4 linked regions of the Schizosaccharomyces pombe genome follow. Each later gene encodes a partner of the first gene's protein in a complex. Each region holds a gene or a part of one and is shown in the gene's direction. Other genes may lie near its edges. The genes, in order: mrpl23, mrpl25, mrpl1 and mrpl20.

The links.
Region 2: mrpl23 (region 1) and mrpl25 share a complex: the UniProt entries of both Schizosaccharomyces pombe proteins name them as parts of the mitochondrial large ribosomal subunit.
Region 3: mrpl23 (region 1) and mrpl1 share a complex: the UniProt entries of both Schizosaccharomyces pombe proteins name them as parts of the mitochondrial large ribosomal subunit.
Region 4: mrpl23 (region 1) and mrpl20 share a complex: the UniProt entries of both Schizosaccharomyces pombe proteins name them as parts of the mitochondrial large ribosomal subunit.

Annotation. Positions count from the first base shown.
Region 1 is NC_003423.3:4,217,161-4,225,060, forward strand, and holds mrpl23 (mitochondrial 54S ribosomal protein uL13m), read left to right. Parts: upstream 1-2,612; 5' UTR 2,613-2,742; coding exon 2,743-2,763; intron 2,764-2,805; coding exon 2,806-3,258; 3' UTR 3,259-3,456; downstream 3,457-7,900. Other genes in the region: mrz1 (ubiquitin-protein ligase E3), read left to right, coding at 1,514-2,320; scs2 (VAP family protein), read right to left, coding at 3,785-4,746, 5,017-5,206; SPOM_SPBC16G5.06 (uncharacterized protein), read left to right, coding at 6,017-6,709; SPOM_SPBC16G5.07C (prohibitin), read right to left, coding at 6,980-7,250, 7,293-7,871. UniProt on the Schizosaccharomyces pombe protein: Component of the mitochondrial ribosome (mitoribosome), a dedicated translation machinery responsible for the synthesis of mitochondrial genome-encoded proteins, including at least some of the essential transmembrane subunits of the mitochondrial respiratory chain.
Region 2 is NC_003424.3:4,991,558-4,999,445, reverse strand, and holds mrpl25 (mitochondrial 54S ribosomal protein mL59), read left to right. Parts: upstream 1-4,938; 5' UTR 4,939-5,001; coding exon 5,002-5,400; intron 5,401-5,511; coding exon 5,512-5,550; 3' UTR 5,551-5,822; downstream 5,823-7,888. Other genes in the region: rga9 (RhoGAP family GTPase-activator protein), read right to left, coding at 1-172, 213-239, 292-378, 429-669, 712-1,458, 1,511-1,671, 1,727-1,829; meiotic recombination protein Rec24, read left to right, coding at 2,275-2,542, 2,683-3,416; lipin, phosphatidate phosphatase Ned1, read right to left, coding at 6,112-7,740. UniProt on the Schizosaccharomyces pombe protein: Component of the mitochondrial ribosome (mitoribosome), a dedicated translation machinery responsible for the synthesis of mitochondrial genome-encoded proteins, including at least some of the essential transmembrane subunits of the mitochondrial respiratory chain.
Region 3 is NC_003424.3:1,789,210-1,797,537, reverse strand, and holds mrpl1 (mitochondrial 54S ribosomal protein uL1m), read left to right. Parts: upstream 1-5,086; 5' UTR 5,087-5,294; coding exon 5,295-6,056; 3' UTR 6,057-6,138; downstream 6,139-8,328. Other genes in the region: protein Mmc1, read right to left, coding at 1-1,238; poly(A)-binding protein Crp79, read left to right, coding at 2,566-2,686, 2,772-2,949, 3,041-3,515, 3,587-4,945; protein saf5, read right to left, coding at 6,260-6,913; ftp105 (Ubp5 interacting protein Ftp10), read right to left, coding at 7,846-8,328. UniProt on the Schizosaccharomyces pombe protein: Component of the mitochondrial ribosome (mitoribosome), a dedicated translation machinery responsible for the synthesis of mitochondrial genome-encoded proteins, including at least some of the essential transmembrane subunits of the mitochondrial respiratory chain.
Region 4 is NC_003421.2:816,727-825,785, forward strand, and holds mrpl20 (mitochondrial 54S ribosomal protein mL58), read left to right. Parts: upstream 1-4,568; 5' UTR 4,569-4,917; coding exon 4,918-5,511; 3' UTR 5,512-6,751; downstream 6,752-9,059. Other genes in the region: Cu(2+) transporter complex subunit Ctr4, read left to right, coding at 1,733-2,602; telomere cap complex subunit Ten1, read right to left, coding at 3,123-3,431; SPOM_SPCC1393.12 (uncharacterized protein), read left to right, coding at 6,953-7,279; duf89 (cobalt/nickel-dependent phosphatase), read left to right, coding at 8,379-8,409, 8,517-9,059. UniProt on the Schizosaccharomyces pombe protein: Component of the mitochondrial ribosome (mitoribosome), a dedicated translation machinery responsible for the synthesis of mitochondrial genome-encoded proteins, including at least some of the essential transmembrane subunits of the mitochondrial respiratory chain.

The DNA of each region.
Region 1 (7,900 bases):
AATTAGTAGATGTCGTTGGCAATGCTACTTGGCAAGTTATTTATCAATTAATTTAAGAAGGAAGAATGTTAGGAACGACAATATACACAGGTAAAGTAATAGGAAAATTCACGAAAGACAGCTAGTGAAATTAAATGTTAGTGAGATATACTATCGTAAACCGTAGTTATGTAATAGGATCAAGCTAACCAGCGAAGTAACCGCTACCTCCATGAATTTTATCACACCAATGTTCAGCATAAAATGTAGTAACAAATATTGTTATACAAAGTATATCCATTTTTATTGACTATGAATTTATTAAATAATGTTTTCAAGTGAGCAAGACGAACCCGAAAACAGAAAAACAATAAGCCCATAAATTTTTGTTTATTTAAGTAAATATCTCAAGCCGTCTAAATTAGTCATGTGAACTTGCAATCAGCATTACATTTTGACTAACTCTTAGAACTTATATGAAGTAGAAGTTGTTGCCTCGGTACCGCGGTATTATATGCAGTTCATTTTGTTTTGGAGAATGCAAAATCGAGTTCGCTCTAAACAATTCTTTTAAGCAATAATCTTAAAAGGCAAATATTGAAATCAAAGATACGTAGCTGTTTCAACTATAAACAAGTACATTCCAAATTTTAAATCTAGAGATTAGGGTTTTCCACGGTAGTTTAAAGAGCGAAAAGGCATTCAGATGAACAAAAGATGCTAAGTTTTTTAGCTAAACCCGCTTATACTTTCTTATTTCTCGAGGACTTTAGCCTCTCTACTTACCTAAAAGTTTCTGTACAGTGCAATACAGGTTACTTCGTTATATTTTTTAACTGTTGACTACGCAGTTCGGTATCTGTTTAACGATACGAAAAATTGCGGTACGTTTCTCTAGCGACCTACAATATAGCGGTATGCAATATTTAACTAACAATGTATATTTATTGTTATAAGAAGTCTATTAGTATCGGTCACCGATATAGCTAATAACTGAGCTGAGGAACGAGGTTCAGTGGTAGCTCTATTTACAATCTTTCTAATAGTTTTTAGCAATTTATTTATGTATGCAGAAAAGCAATTTATCCGCATCTATCAGCAAACGAATCTTAAGTAATATCTTAGCATATGACATATAGTGATACGCAACGTACTGTATCATAGCTAGTGTAGTTCTGCTAACATTAACATGTACTTCTTTGTTTGTATTATGCATATAGCATTAACCGCGTTAAGCTAAGTTAACGTTACGAAGAGCGTACAGAAGAGATTCAGTTTAGTAACTGCGAATTGTTAATTGTTCTCATAACTTAGCCTACATCTAGTGTAAGACGACGATTGTGAAAATTCACCTTAAAAAATTCAACAAGTCTTGCAAATTATGACTTGAATAATTTTCCATTAAGAAGAATAAGCACACAATGTTTTTTGATGACAAGATAACTTGACATTCTGCCATTCATGCGGTTTCATACACATCAATTAATTTAGTGCATAAATACAATATAACAAGTTATTAAATTTTAGAAGAAGAATGAAAAAGCAATTCCTTGTACGTAAAAACTCGTCAAATTCTCGCTACCTTCGTCGAGATTGCGTTATATGTTTACAAAAAGATGGTCTTCGGGCACAGCTATCTCCATGTGGGCATGACCAGTTCGATTATTCTTGCATATGTCGCTGGATGGATCAATCCTTGACATGTCCCATCTGTAAGAGACACGTAGATTGTGTGTTTTATGGATTTCATGGGTCAAGTTTGTATAAGAAGTGGTATACTCAATCTTTGGGGTCAAATCAGTATTCGATTTCACGACAATTACTACGGCAGCCTTCATTTTCCTCCAGCGAAAACACTGACAGATTGGCCGATTTGCTACGCGTACGACGTTTCATCTATCAAAAGGCATGGAAAAGCTATGAAAATCCCTCGCTTTCATCACATAGGCAATATCAAATACCCACTCCTATCCAACTAGCTTCTAGCGCATCTTTATTAAAGAAAGTGGAAAGCTTTATTGCTAAAGAACTTCTCTTGTTTGAATATTTAGATGGACATCAAATTAACTTTATACAAATCTTTTTGATGGGTCTCTTACGAGTTCAGAATATTCAACATCCACAAACCATTGATGAATTAGCGGAATTTATAGGCCATGAAGAGTCCTCTATACTCCTCCATGAATTGCAAAGATATTTACAATTCCGTCCATTGTCGATAAGCAGCTACTTGTATAGCAAGCGATATTTGTATGGTCCGGAAGGCTTAACAATGGTTCAGCTGTTGAGTCAAATTGAAAACATTCAGCATGAATCTGGTCCTGAGACGGAAAATTCGTAATCAAGCGTTAATTGTATATTATTGCAATTTACTGTGATTCTTTGGGCTTATCAAAAATTAGTTTTATCATTGTATCGTTCATTGCCTTATTTTTTCTAATATATACAAATGGTATTTTTTGAAGCAATAGCTATTAGCTTTATCATGATTAGTAAAGGAGGTTCGTATTATGAATTGAAAAATCAATATTTAAGAAATAATAAATAAAACAACATTTTTGAAAAATAGAAATTTTGTAGGTAACAGTTACCTTACTACAGTTGCTTAGCATCCAATATTTACCCACACCTACAAGCTTGAGGAAACATTATTTGAGCAATTTTCCTACTTCTCTTTTATTAGAAACCACTGATATTGTACTGTCGCTTTAAGAGAAAAATCAGAAGGAACTGAGGATTTTATGATATAGAAATCTCAACGCGATGTCAACGTTGAATGGACAAGTATGAAATTAGTTTGACAGTTTCTTTTACTAACAATATCAGACAGCATTGGCTTACGCCAAAGTTTGGCATCATGTTTCTGCAAAAAATGTTCCTCTAGGTAGGCTGGCTTCCCAAATTGCAACTACTCTTATGGGCAAGCACAAACCCATTTATCACCCTGCAGCAGACTGTGGAGATGTCGTAGTAGTCACTGACTGTTCTGAAATTGGGATTTCTGGTCGAAAACTCGAAAATCATAAATATTATTCACATTCGGGTCAGCCTGGTCATCTTAAAGAGTGGACGATGGAAGAAATGGCTGCGAAACGGGGGCACAAGGATTTGTTGAGAAGAGCAGTTGGTGGAATGCTTCCAAGAAATAAGCTTTGGGATAGGAGAATGAAACGTCTTTATATTTACGATGGAGCTGAACACCCTTATAAGGCAAACATATTTCGTTCCTACCATAATCCTGTAAGTTCGCAAATTGCGAAGGAATTATTCTCGAAATAAGTGTTTAAAATCTCCTTTAATTTTAAAAGGTAGTTCAAAGAACAAAAGCCATATCCCTACTCACTTAAATTTCATTGATTTTTTGCATTAATGTTTGAACATTCCACAATGTCGTATGCCCTAAAAAGCTAACACATTTTAATATTGTTCTTTCCAAAAAAAATTATTTTATATAAATTAATGTTATTGTATTCACTATAAGAAGCTGTAATGTATTTAAAGACACATTTACGTTTGTGAACTGGTAAGAATGAATGTCTGGTAACCATAAGAGGACTACAACTTTTCTTGCGAGTAAAAAGTAGATAACATGAGACGTCGACATAAATAACGACATTTGGAAATTATCTCCAAAGCCAGATAAACGCGCTAAAAAGTACCCTATCGTTGTGAAGAGCAAACAAATTCAACAAACGTCAACCTAAAACCTTGCTTAGCAAAGGCCATATAAAGTAATAAAATCAAGAGCCATTAACTTAGGGAGAAGATTTTACACTTCTTATTAAACATATCTACGCTTTACATTTTAAAAGAAAAGATAGCCAATAAGGAAGAAAATCAGGCAAAGAATGATAACAATATTGGGAGGAATTCCTGGAGATTCGGTTAAAGAAGCACCAGTGGAACTCGAAGGGTCAGCTGAATAAGAGGGCTTGATTTGTTCCAAGGCGTTGTCGGAACTATGAGCACCTGCAGCAGGTTTTGCCCCTTGTAAAGATTCACGAGTTTCAGATCCGAGATTTTCAGAAACTTTTTCAACGGCAGGGGTAGATTCAGGAAGTTTAGAATCGAAATCATTCTTCTTAGTATCAAATTCTTCATTGACAGCTGATAAATTTTGGGGGACGGGAGGAGGGGGGTGGACTGGTGGAGTCGAAGAAACAGAGCGACGAGGGCTTTCTGAAGGCTTTGGAATTTCATTATCAATAATATCTTGTACCTTCGATCTAGCAACATCGGCTCCTTTGGAAGAAGCACTTTCGGCTGTCACAATGGTATCTTTGACAGAAGCAGCACCATTGTCAGCATCAGTAACAACGGTTTGAACTACACTGGCGTCGGGAATTTGTGCACTTTCGAAAGTAGAGCGGAAGGTACTATCTGGAACAACAGTATTAACACCATTGCTTAAATGATCCTTTGCTCCATTGAAGTCATTTTGAGCTTCATCCAAAGACACACCAACCGCCGTAGGGCCGCCGACAGAAGATGCTAAGTTTTCGGAACCTTCAACAGAAACAGGGGGGTTAGAAGTACTAGTGTTCTCAACCTGTTTATCAGCGGATTGAGGAGGTTGCTTAGTTGAATAAACACAGCGGATTTTACGATCAAAAATGGAACGGCCTTGTTTTTCCATTTCAGTCCAAAACTCGTGATAATTTTCGACATTACTGGTATCAGCATCACCGATAGCCATACTTTGAATTAAAAACTTGTCACGACATTTAAAGTCAGGAGCAGGCTCCTCCTTCATAGCTTGAAGCAAAACTAGAATATATGTTAGCCAAGATAATAGAAAAACACTAGAGGCACGTAAAGATAAAAAAAAAAGATGATAGTAGTTTATTCCAAAAAAAGAAGAGCGAAAAACAACAAACTTTAAAAGAATAAAATATAATATCACAACTTTTAAAAGTCCAAAATGTATTTATATCTTATCTAAATATAAAAACATTTGAAAGACATAAAAAAGACTACAAAAAAATAAATGTGAACAGATAGATAGGTGGTTCGCTCCAGAGTAAATAAATTACAAACCTTGTACGTTCACCGTAGATTTTGGTTCAATTTTTCCTGAGTTGGGACGAACACAGTAGTGCTTGGGAGCAGTAGTCTTCACCTTGAAAATGACAGGCTCGGGATTGGGATTATGGACGGAGATGAGCTCCTTCGACATAGTCGTAAAAGGAGGATAGAAAAACAACTCTCCACTACACTCGACACTCATTGTGAATAACTATCTCTATTTAGGTTAATAAATATGTAAAACATTTCAGCACATTATTGGTATTTTGAGATCAGACACAACAACGAGCTCAAGGAATTCGCAAGCGGATGAACTTTCATCTTTTATTTAATGCAAAGTAATAAATCATACCTAAAATATGAAAAGATAAGCGCGTGGACCGCTTCCTAACAAGTTGTACCAAAAATAGGAAACTTCTCAAGTTGGTAGTTGAGTGGTATGCGCGCACCCCATACCTATTTGTGGACGTAGGAAATGGCTAGCAAATGACGGTGAACTCGGTGACCCTCGGTAAATTAATCGGTGAATAGGCTTATTGAACACCATGTAAAAGGCTCGCTACTTTAATTCCGCTATCATATACTGGTTAATTAAATTTCTTATTAATTTTTATTCTTTCAGTTAACCCTCTAATATATGGTATTGTTTAAGGACTTGAAATGGTTAGTATTCAGAATTAATGTAAGTCTTTGCTTGTTCGGTGAGAGATTCAAGTGTAACCAAAATATCACGAACTTCGACTAAGGCTTTTCTTTCAGAGGTATATCTCTTGAGTGATCTTTTCTCTTTTATTTTCATCTGGTAAATACTATCTACCCTAATTCATCACTATCGTTCTCGTTTTTTGCATAACAAACATAGTGTAGCTTGATTTCTACACCCTTGATTCATTTTGCTATTTATTGCGCTTTCCATTTTTAAAACTCCTTTTGCATTGTTAGAAATATTTTCTAGTTAATCATTAAAACTTTTTATTTGTGTGAGGGTAACTCGATAACTTCTTTTAAATCAATGAACATCCGGTCTTTTCTTTTGATTTCAATTTTTACTGCCATAAGTTATCTAGTGGTGGATGGGGCTACTCCTAGAACTTTTGCACCATCTGCCAGTGTCAGTATAAACTATGGTACATTGAGCACCGTATTTCCTAGTTTATACCGAAGGGCCTCAACTTCTTCGAGCTCAAGTTCTTCTTCTATATCCACCAGCCATGATAGTCAACCATCGACCTCCTCCTCATCACCTTCCTCTACTTCGACCAGTTCTAGTTCAGGCACGTCAGTGATTACAGCTTCAGATGTTTCAGCATCAAATGAAATTATTTCTTCCAGCACCAATAATTCTATTCATCAGCAGGTATCTGTTGTGACAGAGTACGTTACCATTCAACCGACTACATATGTTACGACGATATTTCAATACACGTCGCTTGCTTCAACTATTGCTGCACAAAGTGGCATTGCGTCTCTCGTTCCTCAGACTTACACACCCTATGGAGGTGTGAAAGCTCTCATAGGTATTTTGGTGGGTGTTGTGGTTGGTTCTGTGTTTCTTCTTGCTATTGTGATGGTTATTGCTAGGATTTGGGGACCTCGTTTGCTTGCTAACAAAGATCAGAACAATAACAACGAAGATCTCGATAGTAATTTAGTTTCAAAAGACTCGGAGGGAACTCCACAAATCACATACGCTTCAAATTTCTAATTTGTAAGTTTTTTTTACTTGTTTTATTGGCTCTTAATGTTTTGTATACTATTCATTCACGTCTTCTACATTTAATGATAGATTTTGTTTGACGACGCACGCCCAAAGCTTGTTATTTCAATCTTCATCAACTATTGATTTTATTTATAGATTAGTGAAAACAATTTAGTTCATTTTCCACATCATGATAATTATTTTTATAACGGTAAGGCAGATATTGAATGGTTAGTTATGGTGTATTCAGAATTCCTCATTAACTCTTAATGTTTATTACTTCTCGTCAGTATGCAATTCTTTCGGAGTCGATTTATCAGGAGCGGTAGTTTTAGAAACTTGTTTAAAAATAGACAAGGCTTGAGCAACCATACCAGATACATCGCTCGTTGATGCAGGAACAATCATACTGTTGGAAGCTTTGGCCAATTTCCCGAAATTCGTAATATACTGCTGAGCAATGTATAAACTAACGGCTTCCAAACCGTGTTCTTGCTTCTTGATACTGTCAGCTAATACAGCAATGCCAGAAGCAGTAGCAGAAGCCCTAAAAATGTGAGTAATATATTCATATGAAAATAAAGCTTACTTTTCACGAATTGCTTGAGCTTCTGCCAAGGCGGAATTAATAGTTTTTATTTTTTGACCTTCCGAGTCTAAAATTTCTGCTTGTTTGTCACCCTCAGCAACATTGATTGCGGCTTGTCTTTTTCCTTCAGATTCTAAAATTTCTGCACGCTTTTGTCTCTCTGCGGAAACTTGTTGATGCATCGCCATGACCACGCTTTCAGGGGGTCGAATATCGCGTATTTCATGCCGTAAACAACGTATTCCCCAACTTTCAGCTGCCTTGTTGATAGCATCTGTTATATGAATGTTCAGTGATTGACGCTCGCGTAAGACATGATCCAAAGTTAATCGACCAATTTCGCTTCTCATTGTAGTTTGAGCAAGTTGAGATATGGCATAATCAGCATCTTCCACGCCGTAACTTGCCTTATAGGGATCATACACTTGAATATACAAGACTCCATCTAAGCCTAAAGAAACATTGTCTAATGTAATGGCAGATTGAGTCGGGATTTCAAGCGCTCTTTCTTTTAAGGAGTGAATATAAGCAATTTTATCAATAATTGGAGCAAGAAATGCAACACCAGGGGTCAATATTCTAGATCGGTTAGTAACTTAGCTCATCAA
Region 2 (7,888 bases), on another chromosome or scaffold:
GAATCAGGAAATTCTAAAAGGCATAACCTTAAAGAACAAGTAATTGAAGAAAGTGTATATTTTTCCACACAAGCATTTAAAACAGATTCAACGTTATCTGTCTTTCGTAAAACGCTTTTAAGGTCAAAAGCATCTTTAAGTGGAACTTCGGTAGTCCAAACACAACTTAAAACTAGCAAAAATTAGTATTTTTCAAGTGAATACTTTCTTACCTTCTTCGTCACGTTCATAAGAATAGGCTGATTATATTAGTTAAATTTGAACAAATGATAAAGAAACTATTTAAAATACCGTCTAATAGATAAGCCAATATTTTAGGCACCAACGAAACAATAAGATTATCTTCGGTCAAGCTGGATTTTTGCAGAAACAAGTATTCTGTAGGTTAGATAGGTTAGATATCACAAATTCAATAAATGTGGACTTACCATCTTTAGTAGATAGTTCGTTGTTAGAAACCGGAATAAAATAACCGGTATAATGTTTATTTATTTGAGTTGACATATCGCGCAAAGAATCAAGATTTTTAAACGAATTTAAGTTGTCGATAAAAATCGAATTAAGACTAGGTATAAAATTACCGGAATAGTTGGAACATTCAACCAAAACCGATTTGACAGCATTCAAACGATCAAGCTCAGCTTGTTCTAAATCTTTAAAAACCATAAACTGGAAAGGGTTAGCAAATGAAAGAAGAATAATGCTCAATACCAAATATAACTCTAATTCATGACGGCATTGCTCTAAATTGTCATAAGCAAGGTTGTACTTTTGTAAAACAGGATCATCATTAGTAGCTGTTATAGGATCATTTACTTGAAAATATGGATCGACCTCAAGAATACTCAAATGATAACTTTTCAATAGTTGCTGTGATTTTGTAGTAAATTGAGCATCTATCTCCGGATCATTTTCAAAAACTCGACGAATGCCAAGTAACCTTATTAAGCCATGTTGTATCAGCTGGTTTCCAGCTTTAACGACATAAGAATCTTTTTCCAAACCAAATGTTGTCTTGATGGCTTCAAATAGAAGAGAGCAGTTTGTAACAAGTTCGTAGTCACCGAGATGAGAATAAGATTTTCTTTTAACAGTAGACGCCTTCATAAGCTTTAATAATACATTGGCAAATTCCTCAGCGGTATATGGATGATCAACTATGTTTATCAACCCATCAAACTTATTAACGTTAGAAGGATTAATATCCAGCTGAGACAGAGCAGAAGCAAGAGAATCGGATTTATTAGATTTTCGAGAGGTAGGAATTGGCTTTCGGTCGGTCAAATTAGACTTCTTGCTGTTTACATGAGAGAAACGTGAATTGTAGTTGTTTATTTTGACAATTGCGGCTGAAACGATTTCATCTACCCTTCTAGAATATTTCTTTGACCAATTTGCAAAAGGATTTATTACCAATATATTTAATTGCTCCCCAAGCTTCTTGTGCAACGACGCTTCCTATTGTAAATATTAGCGATAATGACCATAAGAGTAACGATTGAAAGTATACCATTAAATAGCTTTCATAAAGCTGGTGTATGGCTGCATCAGAAGGAAGATCATTGCTTTCTTCATTTAAAGGATGGTGCTTATTGAATTTTGAAAACGATTTGAACAGCAAGTCAGAACAAGATGAAGCTGACTTTGCTCTAATATGTAACAACTGTAATACTAAACGTATTGTTAAATCATTAGTTATTACAAGAAGAAGAATTCATGTGCATACGCTTTTCGTTTTGTTCAACACCTTCGTTGATTAAACGTTGGGCACGATTTATTCCCGTAATATAATCCCTTGACCAGAACGAATTTGAAAAGCCGTCCCACATATCTTTTTGATAAAAATGTCTGATGTACAATACACTTAAGTATATCTATGTACTTCTGTTGAGTGCCAGCTAATTAATAGATTAAAGGTAGTTACAAAAGAGTTCTCTTTTAATCTAAAAACGTTAGTTTAAAAAATATTACAGATAAATCAGTAAATTGACATTGAGGATTAGAATTCTCCTACAACTCCAAATAATCCAAGAAGGACTGAAGGAAAAACTTCTTCAAAAAATCACTTACAAAGAAAGCGGTATTAAATATTATTCACAGTGATTAATATGTAATTTTGGTTTTGTAAAGAGTCATGTAGATGTTGGTATTTAAGTGGGTTCGTCGCGACGAGATGTAAACAAACCAAATTACATAGTGCAGTACAAAGCATCGTAAACTGTAATGAATGGCACAAATACTGAAGACAATAGTAAACAAATACTCATACAGACAATGTACACGTACGATTCGTCGGGAGAGACACTGAAAATAGCAATAGCATGGAAGATAATTTTAAAAAAACCGAAAGGAAAAAATATCAAAGACTACATAGAAGCATTGCGGAAAGGAATTGAGGATCAGGAACATTGCGAAAAATACGCGTCAACATTATTGGAACCGCGCCCAAAGACGAAAAAAGATGTTGTTTTGAAAAATAGTAATGTTACAGAGTGTGTGGCTTTAAAAGCCAAACCGTTCTCTAAAAAAATCGAGGATATGGGTAAGTACTTGCACGATGCTTATTAAATCCATCAATACTAGGCCGGTATATCTTCTTATATCTAAAGCATTAGTTATATTAAAGAAAGCCTTTTTGATCTAAAATAGTATGAATTTTCTTTCGTTAACAATCCAATCTAGATATCTTTTTGCTGACCAATGTTCACGAGAATCTTCAGGAAAAGAGGCAAACATCCGGAAGCCTTGCGCATCTGGATATTGAGTACACGTTTAATGGACTTTTTCGATTCTTAAAATGCACTGCTGACATAAAGTTGAAGCAAACAAAAGTATACGAGGGTGCGGATTTTTTGCGCATTAAAACTTTATTCGAAGAAATTTTTATGTTTCTTAAAAGAGATTGTAAGTCGCCGTTGGTTTTAACAAGACTAGTTGAATTGGGAGATTATGTACTGGATCTCATTATAATCACGCAGTCGATTATGCAAAACAATGCCAACAATGGAACTGGAGTGATTTCCAGAGCGAAATTTTTGGAATTTTACGTATTTTTGGAGCAACTGATATTTAACAAGCTCTCATTCGCTTCCGTAGAGCAATTGGAAAAATTACTAGATCAAATTGTTAAACGGATGAAAATATGCTTCACATATTGCAAAAACGATAACCCATCTATCCGGTTGTTATATAGTGAATGTTTTTTTTCGTACGCTGAGATATACTTCCCTTGTCTACACTCCTTCGATGCTCAGCTTTCATCTGCCGCAAGCAAATGTGTCCAAATCTTAAGAGACATAATCACAAATGAAGAATTACAAACTGATAAACAAGAGTTGTCTAAGAGTGCCTACTCTGCTCCATCCATCCTTTTGATTGGCCTCAAAGATATGCTATTTCCCGAAGACATTTCCTAATAGTAATATATTGAGGGCCACTATTTAACACACATTCATTTCTTGCCTTTCCAATTTGACTCCTTTTGTTATCCTAAAATATTCACAACATTTGGTGGAATTTTTCTGGAAATTCAATGTACAAAGAACGTTGTGGTGAAAGTGTTGATCATCATATCCATTCGATGAACTTTGATATTATGTTCCCTTTTAAATCTTGGGCATAAGGGAAAGGTTTTCTGCTTTTAAAAATTGATGGATAAAAGAAACAAAGGAACAAAAAAAGCGAATATATAGTGGCCAATTTGTATTATTTTCAAGTACAGAAGTGCTTTCCAAATTCGTTTACAAGAAACTTTGGAATTTCAATCAACAAGCTATGTTTCTTCTTTTCCAATAAAGCGCATTTAATACAACGCGTTGACAACAAGATTATTGATCAAGTAAAGGAAATTTATCGCACAAGCCTTCATTCATAATCCGCGATTTGATCTATACGCATTGCTATCCTATTCCTTACGAGGGATAAATCGAAGGAAGTGATAATGGATAAAACCACACAAGCTCCAGAGAATTGAAGGTTTTTCAGCTATAGACCTAACTAGAAGAACAGGGATACTTACAGGGCTTATTAATATTCAACATTAAAGAGCGTCTTATCGATTCCTTGTCAACTTGATATCACCAACAGTTCTATGCACTACTAACTTTATGTCACACTGCGTTACATGTCATTATAAATAATTCCTTTAGTATTTCTTATATTCTCCACTAATTGGAGTCATCGAGAGATGACCGGACTTTTCCTACAATAATTTTTACTTTTATTTATGTTTTAAAATACTCAAAATAAGCATGATTGAGCTTTTTTTGCTTACTCTCAACATGTGTCAGTAGGAATCCGTACATGATCTGATATGATAATTTTACTGGCATCAGAAACTCTATAACCACACACAGCTTACTTGAACGGGCCTCATTTGATGGAATCATAGAAGCAATCACAACTAAAAACGATAATGATTGAAAGCGTTTGAATGCTACGTTGGCGGAACACAATCACACATACTGTCAGCCTTCAATAATTAAATAACGCAACCCAACAAAGATGCCTAAGGTAGAGGGACTAATGCGAGAGGAAGCCATCTACGCAGTATGTAAAATATTTTAAGGAGTTTGTATAGTTGCTAATTTAACAACGATATACATAATAACGAAATATGTTAGTGATTTTTATATTTGTATAAAATAATACCCTGGATAATTTTGTATTTATTAACTATAGTACTGCTACACCGTAATATTATATTAATTAGTATATCCATTGGAACTAAATTGAGTAACTAAGAATTAGTCCGACCTAATAAACGCTAATAGTCAATAAATTGGCTTAGAATTGTCTGAGATAATAAACTCTTTTAATATTTCAAACGATGAAAAGTTTCGATTAAGAACTCAAGAATGAACAGTAATGATTGATTTAACGTAATATAGCGCAGTTAAACGTTTGCCGACATCTTAGGTCAATGTATTTTCTAATACTAATAGTGCTTGACTCACTGTCTTTTTGAGCTTCTCTATAGATTAAAGAGGTTTTAACCTTATCATGCCAGTCTTTACCAAGGAAGCTTTGGAACGGCTTCCTATCCAATTAGGAAACTTTTTTAAAAAGTTTCCGCCTGAAAATCCAAATGCATGGACGACAAATCCAAATCGTCAAAATCCGTTTCTCGCAACTCGAAATCCTCAGAATGGCCTTGTAATCAACCCTTACTATTCCAATAGAAGGCAAGCTGAAATATATAAAGAGGCCAGGCTTCAGAATCTGGATAATTTACTCCCCCAACAAATGTCATGGCAGAAAGATTCTACACGCCATATTTTGAAAGGTCTTCTGAATCCTAAAGGAAAAATTAGTGAACGAAAGAGGGATGAGATTTTGGAAAATAGGCGTTTAAAACTTTCGGAATCATTGAAGAAAACTTCTAAATTTAAAAATGAGCGCGTATGTAAACTGTTGTACTTTCATGATTTTCTTATTTCTATCTACTGATTTTGATTGTGAAAAATTTACTATTATTATTTTTTTAATTGTCTTTATTAACACTCTTTTTAGCAAAAAGCTAGCAAAATAGCGAAACCTTCTCCTTTCTAAATTCTTCTTCTGCAAAGTGGGTTTCACGTAATACTGTTAATACCTTTTGATTCCTGTTTGTTTATGACTTCCTTAAATTTTTTTAAAGATTCATTTAAATTTACTGCTATATTACCTCAATTATGTGTTTACTAAAAGTCTTTTATTGTGCAGCATGATAAAAAGACTAATATACTAGTCTATACATTTTTGTAATCTTTACTAATAATATGATTCTACTTTAATAGTTAAATTACATTTAAATATTAGGTTTTGAATCTGCAGACTTAGGATTTTAGAATGTGATTTATTCGTAACTTTTCATTATGAAGTATCTTGTTATCTTTAATTTTTAGGAAGAGCGCATTTAAATATAAAAAAAATATTTAGCACTTTCTCAAAACTCATTACTTGTGAATGAGTAAGTAAGTCATTATATGATTTATGTAACTTTCTAAGCTTATTAGTGCATTTCAAAGCCGACGGAAATTCGTCAAAGTGATTTTAAGATTTTGGGGCATTAAAAAAAAAGATGGACAGTCGAGTAATTTTTTTTTCATCGGAAATTGGGAAAATGCAACTTCAAACAGCATTTTCAACGTCTTCTTCTCCTTCTTCATCTTCTTCACCTTCAAACATTAATTCATTGAAAGACTTAATCAATGGACTAGGAGAATAATCTTGAGCATCTTCCTCGTCAATCCCCTCGAATTCTTGATATCCGAATTTCGTATTTTTGGGTGTTTTGGGCGACTTGGATGTGCTTTTATTAGTATCGTCTTCTTCTTCATCGCTAAGTTCAAGCAAAGGAGATCTCCAAAAATTCACATCAGTAAAGCTTGAGACTTCATCTCGGGTGCTAACCTCGATGGGAGGGAAGAAATGATCGACAAGCTCATTCATGTAAACATAACTACTTCGGTGACCGCTTCGCTGCAACAGTTCAATATGGACTTCGCCAGCAGAATTAATGGTAAAAATCCTAGTTGGTGGAACTCTGACATGGTTATAAGATATTGCGTCTGTAATACGATTGCCAAAGCCGGCGTAAAATGGTGTTCGAGGAACAGGTAAGGCGAAAATATTACAAAGATCACGCAAACAAGCCATTTTAAATACTTCTGGCTTCCTTAAAATTACTTCTCTATGAAGAGCAGCCATAGTGCGATCAGGTGATAAAATAACAGGACCATCGGGTAGAGAGTATCCGTTCTGTTCAATATTCCGGAGATAATGTCGAGTAGAATCGGCTTGGCCTACCGAACGACTAGTTAAATACATAATTTTGTAGCCGTTGTTAGTGATATCGGTATACAATTTGGCAACTCCAGCATGAGTCCAATCCTTGCCGATCAAGGTAAACATATGCCCTAGAGCATCAGATTTGGTAATTGTTCCATCAATGTCCGATATAACGACAGGATCGTTGTGTTTCCAAAAAAAAAGATTAGCAGTGCAAATGGCCTTACCCCCGTTGACTCCAAAGGAAAGCTCATTTTTACCGGGCTTCAAATTTAATGAACGAAGCTGATCAGAGGTTAAACGAAGGGTTTTAGCATATTGAGGATATGACTCGGAAACTGGGCTCAAAGACTGTTCAGATAAAGAGTGTCGACGGCTTAAATCAGAGTCCTCATCCATTAAAGCCGAATCGGACTTTGGAGACGCAGGAGTGCGAGATGGACTTGCAGGAGGACTGTGTCCATAGACCTCCGCAAACTTTTTGGCATCTTCAGAAGCGTGAAACCACAGATTACCTTCTTCATCTTCACGCAGAAGCTTTTCAATCATGGGAAATTCATCCTTGAATGTTTCCCGTGCCAACTCTGCAATGTTTATATTCGCAGCAGAAGATTTATAACCTGTCATGTCAAGCATCACATCACCATTATCCCCAACACGTGTAGGAAGTTCTTTCCCAGAAAGCCTTTTCCCCAATTCCTTTGCCTTTTGTAACAATCGTAAGTCTGCTAGCGTTGTTGCAGGCATCGACGGAGTTCTATCACTTCCAGCCATTTCCAAACAACTCGAATGTCGAAGGTGCTTAAAGCCGGTTGGAGGTGTTTGATCGGCATCGGATTTCGAACGGCGAATTAAATCTCGAGTAAGAGGGAACTCGTAACCGTCCTCCATCAAATAGGTATTCGATTGATCTTTCTCATGATCCTGAGATACTTTATCGAGCTCGAGATCTTGAGGCTCAGTGACATTCTAAAGCAAGACTGTTAGTAATTTTCGTGATTGAGATAAACTAAAAGCCGAAAGTAGTTGTGCAGAATTCTGATACCGTATTCATTAAAATATTGCACATAACTGTTTTCCACCGGACAAGTCAGCCCCAGTTTACTTTTGTACATAC
Region 3 (8,328 bases), on another chromosome or scaffold:
AGAGATCCAAGAGCCCCCAGTCCCTGAAAAGCAGTTGTGTATAGTGTCTTTCGACGTAAAGGTTGTAAGGCTTGATCTACAGCACTCATACGGGAGTTTTGAAATGTCCCAAAATCTTTCATGGCGAGTTCAAAATTATTTTTATCGTCACCGTTTTTCGACAACTCACCTAAAATAAATGACAATTCGAGCTTTGATTTTTGTAAGTACTCATCCTTTATTAATTGTTTTAGACTTGCAGGTAACGACTCAATGTTGGAATATAATTTCAATGTACCAAAATTTTTCCAAAACTTTTGAAGTTTCTTTTCAAACTCTTGAAGATCGACATCACAGTACTTGGCCCATTTTTCTATCGATATCAGCATAGAATTGCTAAATTCGGTTGCGCGAACGAGATCTTTCTCGGCTTTTGTTAGAGAAAAGGAGCAGCAAAGATAATTTAGAAAACGTTTGCATATTTCTAAATCACTTGTTGGCGTCATGTTGGTGCGTAGTTGTTGAAATCCACTTTGCTCCCATTGATTTTGGTAATTTTGAAAGTTGTGGGGATCATCCTGCAGAGCTTTGGTGGCTTTTAATGCAGCCGATGATGAGACGGGTATTATAGATTTTTCATTTTTTAAAAGAGAATGCAACTTTGGGTCAATATCGAGCACCAACGTGTCTGCAGTAGTAAAGTCACTGGAGGTCATTCTTAAATAAGAAGTAGAACATATATATCGAGCATGGCAACTAGCCAAAATATCAGAGTCCACTGTTCCCGGAGGAAGGTGAATAATTTCAAGATTATTGACTTGTAGGAAGTCGCTTGGAAGAAATAAATGTGACGTACTATACCTAGCATTTCGCTCAAACAAAGCATTTGTGCCAAACGAGATATAAAGTGGGTTTAGTCCATTGTGATCCATGGCATATTTCAATTCTTTTGACTCAGGCATAAAGGGAGCAGCGAGAAGAGCATGTGTGATTTGTTTGACACACGCGACATCTTCGGCAGAAGAGCTTAACGCCTGTAGCGCAATCCTCCTCCTAATATTCGATTTGGAAAGCAAAAGGGAGACATTTCCTACACGAATTGTTGCAGGAGAATTGTCATCGACTAATCTTCTCAAAGAATAAAGCTCATTGAGCAGCTTTTTTTGCAAATTGGAGATGATCTGCACATGTGGAGCGGTCGACGACCTGCGTATCGCCAACACAGAGCGCTTCCATGTTTTTATTCCAAATCTTAGCATAATTTCTCTGAGCCTATGAAAAACTAATCACAACAAAGGATCGCATATGAACCACACTAGATTCGAAAGCCAAAAAGGAACGAGATTACCGGATTTTAGATAGTATTAGTTAAAGTTCCAAATACACAATAAAACATTTACTAATAAGTTAATAATTCTTAAAACAAATACTATAGTGAATAATTGTTGTCTGATGGCACCCGAAGGTTGTATAGTAGTTGTGTCTATTGAGTAGTGTCGTAGATGTTATATCAAAATACCTTAACCCAGCAGTATAATATTCTTGGAAAATCATTGGATATTGTTAACCCTTAAATCTGTATATGTTTATTTATTTGTTCAGTCAAACAATCATAAAAACAAAAAAACAAAGAATTTTGCATTTTGTTAATTTAGACGAATTCATTGTTCATAAACAGTGACAAAATCCGAGGTTTATACAAGTATTTGAAGAAAACGGTATTCGACAGAATGAAGCTTTAAGTCTAAAATGGATTAGAAGGAACTGAAATGAGCTACATAAATTGCTCTTAATATTGGAGAACTGCTAACATTTATAACCTTTTTAATGATTACACTAAATCTTCACCTATTGCTTTTCACTTACTTTAATGGTCATTCGATTCAAACTTATTTTATCTAAATCTATTACCTTTTGCCAGTAAAATACTGTATAGTTAGTTAGCAAAGAATATAGGCGAGTAAAGCTCTAAACTATCATACTTCTAAAATCAAAGAAAACCAAAGAAAAAAGCAGATGAAAGAATTTAGTAACATCTGGATTTTGAGTAATAAACTGATTGACCTAACTTATTGACAGGTTGTGCGATATCAGTTGGTTTGCCAAAAACAACAATAATTGAAAATTTATGAATGGATTCACCAGAATATTAGCCTAATTGCTTTTTGATTCATTTAAGGAAATTCAACTTTTAATTTGAAATCAGCGAAAGCCGAAAAAAGGATGGTATGAATTTGAAATATTTTTTAATGCGAGCAGGTAATATTGACTTTAATAATAAAATAAAATAAAATGTCATTATAAATGCGATTTGAGGATTTAGTAGAGATATGGATAAAACAGATATGAACCAAACTGCATGAATATTAGGAAATCAAGTTGTAAATATAAAACAAGCATTTTTAAAAAAAAACAAAAAATATTACTCTAAAAATGTTAAGAGGTCAATTTAAGGTTTGTTTACTCTCATTTGTTATGGTGGTAATAGTTTCAGTCATGCATCATCGAAATGTAAACAAACAGCGATCCTATATATACCAAAAACAACAACCATTCCTTTCCATCACACATCTTTTTTGAGATAAAATGAACAATTCAAAACTCTCTGTCCCCGGACAGTATGAAGATGAAAGCAGTACTATATATGTAGGAAATATAGATTCCCGACTTTCTGATGAAGAAATCATCAAACACTTTTCAAAATATGGTATGAACACACAAGTCAAGGATAAAAACACGAGGAAAAACATTAGAAAACATAAATAAAAGCGATATATTAATCAATTCTTTAGGACAAGTAGAATCCATCTTTCGTCGATTACTTGATAGTTTTTATCCTAAGGAAAAAGCGAAACCTTTTAAACCTCCTAAAAATGGAGTGCAATATGGGTTCGTCAAATTCGTTAATGCTGAAAGCATTGAAGAAGTTCTAAAGGACGCTAAAGGAATGACTCTGGGCCAAAGAAAATTGTAAGTGACTGAAGGGAAAAATTAGAGACAAGCATTACAGAAAAAAAAATCGAAAAATCATTCTCCAAAAAATTACTAACCTAAAAAAAAGGACCATTAAAGCAAGAGTCGTAAATCCTGCGAAACTGACAGACAAAAAATTCAAACCTAACGATACGTCAATCACTGCGAACGTGTTCAATCCTAGCATCCAAAACAATACAGATGAGGAAAACGTTAAGCCAGGACTCAAACAGTCTCAGATTAAGGAATTTATTCCAAATGTCGAAGAAAGAAATTGGGAAACTGTGAGAGGCATAAATTCGCGTAACCCGAAGCCAGAAACAACGCTTACCATACCGTCTCTTGGTTTGGAAGATATTAGCATGCAAGTTGTACCAAATGCCTTCGCTTCTACGTTACCCCTTAGTATCTTGAACCTACCTGCCGAAGTCACACCGATTGACTTATATAACCACTTTAAACAGGCTGGTGTAGTAAAAGGGACGGCGGTCAGCCAGTTTCTTGACCAAAGAGGGTTCCGGTATGGCGAAGTGATTATGGATTCAGTTGAATCATGTCAAAATGTAAGCTCAATATGAAGAGAAAACCCCAATATTTGCATAATCTATTTCATGATACTAACCTCATTATTAAGGCAATAGAAAAATTAAATAACGTTCCATACAAAGGAAGCATTTTAGAGGTCAGTATAAAAAATAAAGCCTCTTCTTCAGTGAAGTCAATTCCCACAACGCCGACTGGTGAAAGCTTATGGCCTTTCCCATCGGAAAACGCTAACAAAACTCAAATAAATATCGAAAATGCTACATGTTCGAAGATGACATGGATTATGGGCTCACCAACTAAGGAGAAAAGCCAATGGGGTAGCGTTTCAACTACCGGTGTTTCAAATCAGCAAAATCATCCAGCCGCTTGGAACCCAGATAATAAACCTCAGTCAATCGTGCATTGGGACTCTTTACGTGAAAGCTCTCCAAGTATCCCTAATTCTCCTATTGACCCTTCAAATCTATACGTTAAAAATTTAGATGATACCGTCATCACATGCAAGAGTCAGCTGGAAGATTTATTCTCACCCTTCGGGTCGATTTTGTCTTCCATGTTAGCATGCTATCCAAATTCAGGAATCTCCAAAGGTTATGGTTTCGTAGCGTTTCGTCAAATAGAGGCTGCCGTTAGAGCCAAAGACACATTGAATGGAATGATGGTTGGGAAAAAAAGGATTTTCGTTTGCTTCGCGGAGCGAAAGTCTGACAGAATTCGTAGATTGCAAGCATTTTTTGCAAACAAACCTACTTCAGAACAAACAGCGCAGCAAGACAACAAAGCTTTGTTCGTCAAACCAGAAAGAAGCTCTACTGTTACCATCCGAAAGCCAATAGAGTCTTCTACAAACAAAATCTCTGAGAATCCCACGACCCTTTCAAGTAAGGTTGAAAATAAGAATGAGCCTAAGACTGGTGAAAACAAAGAACCCAGTCAGACAAATGAATATGTTAACTGTAAGCAAGAAAATAAGGAACTTAGTGGACAGTTATCAGGCAACTTGGATATAAAGAAAGAAGCAGGAAAATTGAGCCATGACGGAGAACAAGGAAACTTGTTAAAACCATTGGTATTCCATGCTAACACAAAACTAAATAACCGAGGGTCTGCTAAGATGGGTTCAACAGCCACCAACTTGAAGAAGATACAAGACATGCTTCACAACAAAAAGCTGAGTAATGCATACTTTGTGCCAAGAGCAAGAGCAACAACCTGTACAACTCTTACGTACGTAACAGTTGAGCCCTCACATTTCCAAGATGAGGACTGTAATGAGTCAACGAACATGCTTTCACTTGTCGGGTACATGGACAGCTATCCAGAAGCTACATCCAATATCCAAAAAATGAATTCCTATCATATTAAAGATTCAAATAAGGAAAATTTTTTATCAACAACAAAGGTTAACAACAATTCACCAACAACTATTCAGTTGACGCAGATTTAACAAGATGCGGTGAAGATATAACTATGAAACAAAATTCATAATGCTATATCCCTCAAAACTCCGATGAACAAACTTTTAACTCCTTAAAATATATACATCGTGAACGGATGGATTTGCTAGTATAACCCTACAGTATCTTACAACTACCACAACGTGGAATTTAAACGAAACCGTTTATTTTTAGTCTTTAATCAAAAACATTATAAGGAAATTTGATTTGAAAGATAATTCTTTATTAATTCGAAAGTTGACAGCTGGATCAGATTTGTTTAGAGATTTATGATTTTAGCAGGTTCATTGACTGACATCCAGTAGCTTGGTGACAGTTTGACGAACCAGATTAAAAACCATGAGTTCATTAATAGCGTTAGGTAAACGGCAAACATTATTGTCACATAATGAATTTTTAAATTTTAAAAATCAAAAGGGTTTCTGCAAAAGGTTTATTTCTCAACTAAACAAGAAATCCAATTTTCCCGCTCTTGCGATGACAGTTCCTGAAGCCACAAAATATCTCAAATCTGTGAGCATTTCTGTTCCATATGTTGGGTCTTATATGCTTTCAATTGCTTTAAAAAGTAATCGACGCGCTCCGTCAGCTCGTGGTCAAATTGCCTTTCCTCATCCATTTCAAGAGCCTCCTAAAATTTGTGTGTTTGCTAAAGGTGCAGCTGCAGATGAAGCTTTAAAATTGGGTGCAACCTATGTTGGTGCAGAAGACTTAGTAAAAAAAATTCAAACAGAGCCCCTTGAATTTTCAAAGTGCTTTGCTCATCCCAACTCGGCAGAATTACTACCACAAGTTGCTAAATTATTAGGATCAAAACGTCTTATGCCTTCAATAAAACGAGGTACTATATCAGATGAATTGAAGCCACTCATTGAATCTGCCCTCACAGCTGTTGACTATCGGCAAAATGATGCAGGCTCGATAAATTTGCCGGTTGGAAAACTAGGGTTCAGCGACAAGGAGCTACAAGAAAACATCGAAGCACTTGTATCAAATGTTCGGTTTACTTTGGCCAAACTGCCTGGAAAAGTTAAAGTTACCGTAAAGCATGTTCATCTTTCCGCCTCACATGCTATTGCAATTCCTCTCCAGTATAAATAATGATTAAAATGTTATTGCATGGGAAATTTAGTCTACAGTCTTGTCATTTGTAATATGTATTACATGATTAATTTTGTACAAATTAGTGAAATGTGTAATGATATTTTATCTAGTAAATTTAGAAGCCTGTTTATATTTATTTATTATCATAAACTACTTTTTAAAAAGTATGAATGAAACGTTAGAATACAACATTATGAAAGTTACTCTGTGCGATGCCATTTCAGAACAGGCGATTCCGGAGAATCAAATCTGTTATCACAAGCTGAGGTATCTACGTTTTCAGCCGTAACCCACTGGTGATTTGGATCAAAAAATAAGGACATAGGGTTTCCCATACTCGCGTTTTCAACATCATTATCTGAGGAAAAAGTGTCCGGATGTAGAGATTGGCAAGTACAAAGAGCCTGGTAACATGAATCAACATCAGTAACATATAATGTTAGTTCTAAAAAATCATCTGTGAATTCATTTTCATCTTCGGTAGAAGGAGCTTCATGCAATGTTCCTGACGACCGTTCAAATTTAAGAATGTGATCTAGCAAGGGTCGAATGGCTTCACCCTCTAATTGAACATATACATATGGCTTATCCTTGCTTTGTTTCGCATGAAGAGTAATGGTTTCATATGGAATTTTCCAGCCAGAATTCTGTTCTTCATCAAAAAGGATAAAGCTCTGTGAAGTTACTAATAAAGTTATCAATTTGCCCAAAGGAAAACTTTCCTCATCACTTCTAATTTTATAGGGGACTGTTTTTTCTTCAAAATAAACGATTTCTTGATTTGGCAACAACTTTTCACCATTTTCAACTTTGCGAATTAGGTCCTTTGGAAGTGAGTCAATTTTGGTAATCATAATTACTTCTTGCTTCCAATAGGTATTTAAGCATAAAAATTATTAAAAAACAGTAATAAGGCCACCTCTACCTGATAATTTATTGAAAGAAAAGGTTTACTGTGCGTTGTATTCTTTTGAAGTACTCAAATACAATATCTTCGCATATTAAGCATTTCGCAAAATCGAAAATATATTTCTACTCTTAACCACACGAATTTTTTATAAATTGAACCATTATGCCAAACAGGATATCGATTTTACTCAAATACTTTTGATATGCAATTTTCGTAAATGACAAGCTAGTTATTCATTGCAATTACAAAACAAACTCATGAATATAAATAGTTTTGTGGAAAAAATAAAGGAAAGGTCTAAGGTCTTTATGAAGTAATCCTCGTTACCCAAAAAATTGGGACTCAAAACTTTTGAAATTGGATTTTTTATTTTATATAGTAAACAGATTTATAAGTGTAGCGAAATAAAGCTAAGAATTTTTTAGCAACCAATTCATTGCTATATAAGGTTATACATTGATTTGGATACATGTAATGAATTAGCATCAGTGGATCGTTTCTCTCATAAAGGTGGGTCTTTCTAAAGTATACGAGATTGACTTTCAAACACCAACTTTCCAAATCAAACTTCGAAAGACTTTTTTAAAGCTAGTGACAAGGTTGGAGCAGAAGATTCTCCAAGCCAGTTTTTAGTTAATTAATAGAATGAAAACAAATCGAAAAGTTCAAAAATCAAAATTAGCAAGGCAAGATTCTGGTCATCAGTATATAATTAAATGATGGCAGTATGTGGATGCAAATCCTCCAAGATAATTTTTTAGTGAACAATTTAATCAATAAATTTTCAAAGTAAGATACCATAACATGCATGCAGGGTTTTCTTCAAATATTTTTTAGGACAAAAGTATACTTTAATTTACGCATTGAATTTAAGAATCACTTGTTGCGTAAACTGGAATCGTGGTTGACACTACTTGGCAGCTGTAAATACAGCAAATCGAGTTTGTCAAGTATAGATTTTGTGGCATTCTCCATTGAGTTAGAACTGTTTTCAGGAGATGCAACTTTCATGATATTTCCATGTTGTTTGTACACTTTAGAGGTTGTAAATAAAGAGGGAGTAGCCATTAAACCTTTTTCATCAAATGACAAAGTATAAAGCCAAACAAGACTTTGAAACCAATTATTCATAGGGACACTCCAAATAAAGTAGCGAAAATTGGGAACTCGAGGATGTACATCATTTAGCACAGAGTTAGCTAATAGTTTAACAGCTTCGTCAGTAGTTGATAATTCTTCATTCATTTTCTTGTATACAGGTAGAGAAAACTGAGATATAATGGCTAGAATAGAATCCAATTCAAGTCTTGAATGCCAAGAATTAAACCACGAGTTGGAAGGTGCAAACAAATTTGAGTC
Region 4 (9,059 bases), on another chromosome or scaffold:
ACCCCCCAATTGTCTTTTCAAGCACATTTATATTGTTATGTATGGCATGTAAATATAATGCAGCATGTGTAAAAGAATATTGGACAGTTGAAAGGACCATGCTTATTTTTAAAAAAGGAAAAAGAAAATAAAGCAGATGAATGAAATTGTAATACCAATCTTTTGATTTGTGGGTCTTTTCCCCTTTATTTCAGCTCGAGGTTCTCTTTCTGAAAATCAATAAATATAGCACGAATTGTTTAATTATTTTCTTGTTGCATAGCTTCGGTTAAAATAAATATATAAAACAGCCCTAGTATTTCCCAAATGTGTTTACTAGTCTTTTCATATTTTCACCGGCCTGTTGGTTTTAACTGATCAAAAGTCATCAAGCCACCTGTTTTTCACTGCAAATATCAAATTCATTTCAATACAATAGAAAAAATGATGTGAATTAGTTTGCATAGAAAAAAACCTGAGACTAGAACTGGTAAAAATTTCTGTGCATTCACAATTGTGGGGAACTGAAAAAATAGAGAATCCAAAATGGGGAGAATCCGATATAGACTATGTTAAATCTAATAAATTTATACTCCAACCCATTCACTCTAAACTCAAGCTTTCTTGTAAAAAACATCAATACTGTTTTCTTAAAATTCCATCTCTATTACTCACTAAAAGAGTATATAAAATATTAAAGAAGCAATTGTTCAAAAAGTGGTCGCATGATGTAGTCGGTTATCATGTCGATCTAATAAGTCGAATGTCGCCAGTTCGAACCTGGCTGTGACCATATTTTTGCTTCTCAAAATTAACAATATTGTGAGCTTGCACTGAAATGCTGTATCTTACATACCGTTATTTTTGTAAATAGTGTATCGTTAAAACAATACCTTCTAATAGTGGATAGCGCACTCAACGGTTCTGATGCTAAAAAATGTCACATTTCCTCTATGCAAAAAGGTTGGATGTCTTACCTAAATCTTAGGTGTGTGTTTTTCTTGTGCTAAAATTATGGAAATGTCACTGTTTGTGATGCTGGATTCCGACTGATTCACTCATTTGATGAAAAAAAATGAGGCATTTTTCTTCTACCTCCATCTGCTACTTGGATGTTACTTTGTTGGAAGAAAAAATCAATCGAGGTATTATTGCGCTGTAAAAGAGCTGATTTTAGGGACAGAAATAATCGCTCATTTCGTAGGTTATGGTATATATAAGGAAGGTGTGATAGAGACATTCCTGGACGCTTAACCTTGAGACGATTGTTTGACTGAAAGGCTTTGGTAGAACATTGGGTTGGTTAGTTTAATCGTTTAAATTCAGTTTATTTACTTGTAATTTTTCATATTGGTCGAAAAATTGGTTTTTTTTAGCAAAATATAGAAACAGAATATTTTCTTTGAAATCTGTATAAATTCAATTTGCTCTTCAATTCGTTGAGATTCTGCCCATTGATTGCCGAAATTTCGTTCATTTTATAATTGTGTTTTCTTTCTTTTCTTGTCTCTCATTTTCTTTTTCTTCCTTTTGATATTCATTTCTCCATTGTGTTTCGTAGGGTTAATTTTCATCTGCATATATTCTGTTTTCTTGTTTTTTAAGAACAAAAATTTTTCATCTAAATATATAATTGTCAAAGTTAGTAAGATACTGGTCTTCCCTAATCTTCAAGTTTTCTTTTAACTCTTTCGTCCTTTTTTTCTAAAACTCATTTACTACTCTTCTGGTTTTTTATTTTTCCCTAGAAGTCATGTCTTTCTTCTCCGCTGCAAAGCAAAGTCTGGGTAATTCCCTCATTAAGTTAGGAACATCTATGGCTCAAAATTCCCAAGGCCCTGTAGATGACTCTAGCTTGTCTCAATTGGAGAATTTGCTCCCACCTTTGCAAATTTTGACTGCTAGAGCCGCTATGGCTGCTATGAACATGTCGAATGATACATCCATGTCTGGAATGAACATGACCAACAGTACGACACCCATGTCTGGAATGAACATGACCAATAGTACAACATCCATGTCTGGAATGAACATGTCCAACAGCACAACATCCATGTCTGGCATGAATATGACTAATACCACTACAACCGCAAAGGCTTCTTCTTGTAAATTATCCATGTATTGGAACTGGTATACTATCGATGCTTGCTTTATTACCAAACATTGGCATATCACCAGTAAGCATATGTTTGTCGGTAGTATTTTCGGAATTATCTTCATGATGATGGCATTGGAATTGGTCCGTCGCGGACAAAGAGAGTTCGATCGTTGGTGTGTCCGTAGATTTTCTCCCGCTAGCAATTCCTGCTGTCATTCGGGTGCCCCTGTTCATTCTGGTCCAAGCATGGCCCTTCGAATCTTTCTTCATTTTCTTCGGTCCTGCTTTTATCTAGTCCAGTATATTGTCGCGTATATCGCAATGTTACTCGCAATGTATTATAATGGCTATGTAATTTTATTTCTCTTTTGTGGCACCTTCTTTGGCTATTTCCTGTTTGGTGCGGATACCATCTCTACTAAGGCCTCTTCATCTGTTCAAACGAAAACGATCGTTCAAGTCGCCGACGAAAAACACGAACATGATTCCAGTCAATATTCAGACACAACACCTACAACCGAATAGCTTGATTATCTCTAAATTTGGTTTAGTATTCCCAATTTCATGCACCTCACTCATTTTCAGTGCTGAAGCGTCTGATTAATCATAATCGTCTTCGCTTTAATTTCTTTCGCACAGTCACTGATAGTTTGGAAGAGGATTCTTTGATGAATGTTGAAGCCACATATTACATGTCCATGTTGGAAAGACAAAACAAATTCTGGTAATTTGTCTTAAGTTTTTACAAAGTAATAAAAGTTTCAACAAAAATAAATAGATGCCACAAGGTAACGCTTATCTTTGTTAGTTAAACATTCAAATTAGAGTATATAGCAATTTGAACAGATGTAATTCGTTCCTTTTTTTTTTTAACCATGATTGTTTGTTTTCGACTTTGAACCTGGAGGTTAATAAATATTTATTATTATAAAGACTGACATTAACACGATTCAGTACCTTTATGGTATCTTAAGGTGATCACTTTCTATATATTTTTAAATGAGTTTGTAATGACATGGTGCAACAGAACTACATAAGATATTCATCAATCACATTTTTGACGTTCAGAAACCATTTGTCGATATCTCGGAAGATTAATTCCAACAGCAGATCGTATTAACAAGACATCCACAATACCATCCTGCCGCTTTCTCCCAACAATGTTGAGCCACTCATGCTTTTGAATAGATACATCAGGTAAAACTACTGTAACATCACAAGTCACGCTGCTTGATCCATCAATCAACCGTAGAATGCCATTCTTATATGATTGCACGCATCCTAAAAATCGAAGTTTTTGGCCGTCCTTACAATCGTTAATTTGATTAATGAAGATAAGTTTAGCACTATCCATCAGCTGCTAAATATATTGTAAAAAGGAGAACAAGGAAAGATGAGGGAAGGTGGTATAGTTTGTGTTTGGAAACTGGGTAATCGATTGAAATATGAATTTCGTAAATGAGCGACTTAAGATCGCAGCTTTAATTAAGAAAACGTAGTTTGACTTTTTCAAAAGGAAAAATTTGCATTAATCCTTAAAATGTGCAGAAAGACTACACTCTCGTTTGCAATAGTAAAAGCAAAATCTAATAATCGTATAGTACTATCAGTGAGGCATATTAGATTGATAAATAGACCAACATTTCCATTATTATTATTTATGAATTGGTTTACTTGAGCAACTCCACAAAAAACGCAAGCATGGTTCTTTTGATTAGTTTTTATAAATTAAGTCAGATGGAATATAAAAAGAGAAAAATAAATGCTTTGGCCGGGAATCGAACCCGGGTCGAATCGATGGCAACGATTCATTATACCACTAAACCACCAAAGCTTCTTGAAATATCTTGTAAACTTGTATAATATAAGTAGCTATTAACGATAACGATAATTATTTATTATACCATTATAATATTGATTAAAATCAAGCAGAGAATTGGAAACATGTTCTGATGTAGTTGTTTAAGGCCTTATAAGAAATCAATAGTTCTTGTAATAAATTCCGATTTTAGTTATAGGGCCAATGCGGCTAATATTCACTTGATAAATTGAAGCTGACTGTAAACAAAAGGTTACCCCTTACTTAACCATTTGATATTATAATTTACATTGCAAAAAATTTGGGTCAGTTTGAAAAGGTGTGTACATTTCCTAAAAATCTATGGAAAATTGAAAAAAATAAAATAAATTTAATTTAATATTTAAAATATCATGCTTCCAGTATTCAATATAATCGGTATTTAAATTGAACCATGAACAGATTAGAAATGGTTTAAAAAAAAAACAGCAAAACAAAATTGTATTGAATTTATCCTACAATCAAAATGCCGTTAACAATATTTTTTAGCTTGAATCTTCCGATTTCTCTTAATAAACCGTCAAAGTGCCAAAAACCAGTTTTAATATAACGAATTATATAATATACATTTAAGGTGCCATAAACACACTGCATTATACGTATTGAAACTAAGAGTGTGGATACTGTGCATATAGAGACTGCTAAACTCCAGGAAACCCGCATTTGGAGAGTAATTTCGTGTTTTTACTCGGAAAATTGCAAGCCTTAATACGATTCTTGTAAATTCAAAAGTTAGAACTCTTCCAAGTGATTTTTTGCGTGTTTTTTTGCTGTTTATTTTTTTTTTGCATTGAGCTCTTTTGTCACGTCGTTGCTATAGCTTTTAGGCTTTGAGAATCTTCGTTATAACTAATATTATTTGAAGTGTGGGTTTATCCAAAAGGCCCTTTACAGTTTTTTGTGTTATAACCTTTTCTCAAAAAAATTTAAAGCATCATTTCTAAAGCGACACCAAAATTAAAATAGTTGAAAGAGTAAAAACATGTTGTTTACAATCAAACCTTCATTTTTGAAGCCTGTAGGCTTCATTCAGACTCGGAATTTGAACCGGCTATACCCTAAACAACGTATTCCTAAGCGACCTAAAATTCCTATGGGTTCCAAAATAGCAGAGGTAACTGAAACTACATCTGCTTATTACAATCCACCAGCGTCTTCTCCAGATGTTAGGATTACTCCTCCTGTTTTTCGCTATGATGCACCTCCAATTCATCAGCGTGATACCTCACTTTCCAAAGAGTCAATGTTTCTCCCGCCGGCAGTTAGCCGAAAATCGAAAAGCAAAGGAAAGTTGAGGTTTTCTACTCATCAACTGAGTAGTGAAGATATCAAATCCATCCAAGACTTGAGGACGAAAGATCCGAATGCTTGGACAACTGGAACACTGTCTAAAAAGTTTAACACAACTCGGTTACTAATTTCACGAGTTTGTGAAGCTCCCAAAGAAAGGATTCAAAAAGTTGAAGAAAATTTTGAGGCTGAAAAACTTGCCTGGGGATCAAAGAAGCGTGAAATTCGCCGACAACGTGCATCTCGTCAAGCATTCCGTACATTGGAACGAGTAGCACAGGTTTAAAATAATTTAATAGTTTTTGGGATTCTAAAACTCTGGTTTTCAATAAAGCTCTGATGCACATGCGGAAGCGTTTTTGACTGCATTATTTAATGTTTCAATCACGTTACAAAATACTCGAGTGATTTGAAAGTTCCTTGGAAAATAATATTAGTTTTGAAGCTTTTCAAAAAAAACAGACATCTTCATTCTTCTTTATTTCTTAATTTACAAAGGCTCTCTGGCATTTTACGAATTATCCTTTACATTTCTATCAACATTTACGCACATTGGTCTGCATATCGCGAATTTTTGTCGCAACCTTTAAAATGTTATTATACAGGCACGAACTTGTTTTACATTTTTACCTCTCCCTTCTCATGTACATATTTCCTTTTTGGAACAAATGAGGAAATTTTTCATTTCAGCTTAGTAGGCTCGGAAATCCTCAATCATAGAGTATGTTGCTTTTGTAACACTCAAGCCAGTTTTTTTTTTTTTTTGGTTTTATCTTTTAACTATTACTGAGAATATACAATGGTGTACATAATTAATTGGGTCAGCGAGCAGTAAAAAAACATCTTTATTTCCTCTTGTACAGAGAGCCCTTTCGTTCAAACCTCAAGTGGTGAAAATAAAGATATTTTTTCGGCTTTTAAGCAGTTGCTATTTAAGATTTCCAATCGACATCAACCGTTTATAAACACTCACGAGATACTTACTTTTGCAAGTTTCCTCACCAGCCATCATCCATCCATCTCCTTAGGACAATTTGCATTCTACGGATTTCATTAATACATCCATCTCTAGCTACTATTTACTTATATTAAAGCTTTGTTTCGCCGTTTTCTACTTTTTTGAAGCTTGTGTGACTATACGTGCTCTTCTTTGTTGGCCCAATTTTCCAACGATCGTCTAAAGAAACATGCGACCTAGTTGAGGAATTTTGCTTTAAGACATTGTTTTTACAGACTCTAACAAGCTTAATTTGTATGGTGGACACAGCTTTGTTGTAATACTGCATACTGCGATTCTCAAATCCTACACTCCTCTCTCCTCTTCTCTCCTTGTTACTTAGTACCTCGAGAAGTTTTGGGGTGACATCAGTCAGACACAAGAATTATATGATGGGTGGGTGGGTTAATACGTATATGAATGATCTCATTTACGTTGCCGTATTGTGCTACTAAAAGTGTTATATATAGAGCAGTGGGAAGTAGAAGTGAGCACTCTTATTAACGATAAAGTTGTGAGTTGAACAAAAGCGACTTACTACTTTGAAATATTGTTTTACTTTACAATTGAACATTTACTAGTGTTCAGGAAAAATCTAATTTTTTTTCGTGCGCTCGATTGAATATTATATCAATCCTTTGTGTTGTACGGAGAAAACCGCTTTTATATAACCTTTCGATTTATTAATTTTTTTTTACTCGGTTAATTCACGAAATCCTAATCGAGCATCATGAATAGGCGTGTTACTCTTGGAGCCTTGGCCGCTGCTGTTGGTGTTGGTTATTATATGACTCGCCATAATCGTCAGGCATCTTCCAGATTGGAACAGAAGAATGCAGAAATCGTCAGAGCCGTGGAAAATGAGGGTCAACGATTTGACAAAGCTGTTGGCGAAACCACTGAAAAGGCAAAATCTTATCTCCAAAGTGGGAAGGAGAGGGTTGTCGATGAACTCGACAAACCTCGTGAAAACGTAAAAAATGTGTTGTCAGAGGCGCAAGCCAAGGGTACTGAACAAGCAGAAGCCCTTAAAAAGGGTACCTCAAAATGGTTTTAAATTGGAAATCCCCAATTCTCGCCATTTAGGGTTATGTGGCAATACTTTGAAAAAATACACACAGGGTTTGTTGTGTATTTGAAAACGTAAAGTGCCTAGCATTGGCTCGTTCTATACCTGCTATCCATTAAGTGTTCTTGTTAATTGTTCCAAACGTATTGCCAAACATTCCGGATCACATCTCGGCAAAGTCGGAGAGATTAAACGTTGTTAACGTTATTCTTTTTTATGTTATTATTAGTTTCTTCTCTCATAAACCAACTGAACCCAAATGATTAGCGATGACAAACAAACGACGATTCCATGGGTTGTCAAAAACACCCTCATAGAAGTTTGCTTTTTTTTGTACAGATAAAAGCGAATTTTTAATTGAAATAATGTTTTTCATGAACGCATAAATGAATGATTGAAATTTTTACATGCATGATTTTCCATTATAGACTGTAAAATGATATTTAAAGTAAGCGATGTGGACTAAGAGTAGTGATAATGCATATGAATACATGCATAGTTTGGATATTATAGGTTTTTCCTAGTTTCCATTATTAAAAAAATAAAAGATTGAAAGGAGTGTTTTGCTTTAATCTGCTCTAGTAGACAGAGTCAAAATTGATATATTTAATAATATTCAAGATGAAGAGATAGAACTCATCAAGTTCGCTTAGATATAACCTTAGCTTACGCGAAAGATGAGAATACTGTAATGCATAGTTTTTTGTTAATTTGAGACAACGAGAGGTATGGAAAATGCCCCTCAGGTGAATTCTCTAAATAAGCTAAAAAGTCAAACGCAAAAAAATGCATTATGCCGGTTTATAGAAGATAAACTTTTTTTTGCTGACAAATATTACGATGGAATTGTCGTTTTGACATTTCTTAGCCGTCGTACCTAATGCTTCTGACTGCTAATCAAGCTCTAAAAAAGCGCAGTTCGTTATACTTCTCTATCCCGTTTTCACCTTCATGACAAGTCCTGCGTATGTATGCATTCTACCATCTTCCATTATTCGCACTTGGGCGTACTCAGCTAAGCTGGTTTTGGCGTATTCATAAACGTGTCTATCCTTCAACAGGAAAATAGGTACCTGAAGAAAATAAGATGGGTCTCAAATTACTTCATCCTCCTAAACGTATGTAACGGTTTAGCTAGACATATAAACAAACTTGAGGATTCTTAGTTGGATGCTCGAGCATCGTATAGGTAGATTAAAACCGCAAAATAACTAACTTTATACAGCTTATGCGATGACCAGTGACCCTGAGTCGTATGCTTCGGTATGTGTCATGAAAAAATGGCCTATTATAGCTACGAATGTGATTGACGAGGTTTCTCGAAACATATCAAAGGCATTGGAGGCGGGAATGTCCGATAAAGCTGCTTATGTTACTCAAGGAAAGGAAATAATCAGCCTTCTTAATCAACTCAAATATGATCTTCAACACAATCGCCCTCTGAAGCCGCTTGTCGGTCAAGGGCCTGATATTGATGACTATAATGAGGAGTTGGAACAAGTTGGTCCATTGACTTGGGGCGATGCTCCCTGGCTTTATGCTGGATGCTATTTTTATCGTATCATGAGTCTTTTCTTTCAAGCCCGTTCTGAGTGGAATCGCCATGACCCCTTCTTTGAACAAAAGGACTTCACATTACGTTCTAGCAAGTCGGCCATTGAAGAATTTGCCAAAAGATATGTACACCTGAACAGTGAACTTGCTTCTATTCAAGAAAACAAGGATGACAAGGCTGCATACATGATTTTTGTAGAAATGGCGGAAATTT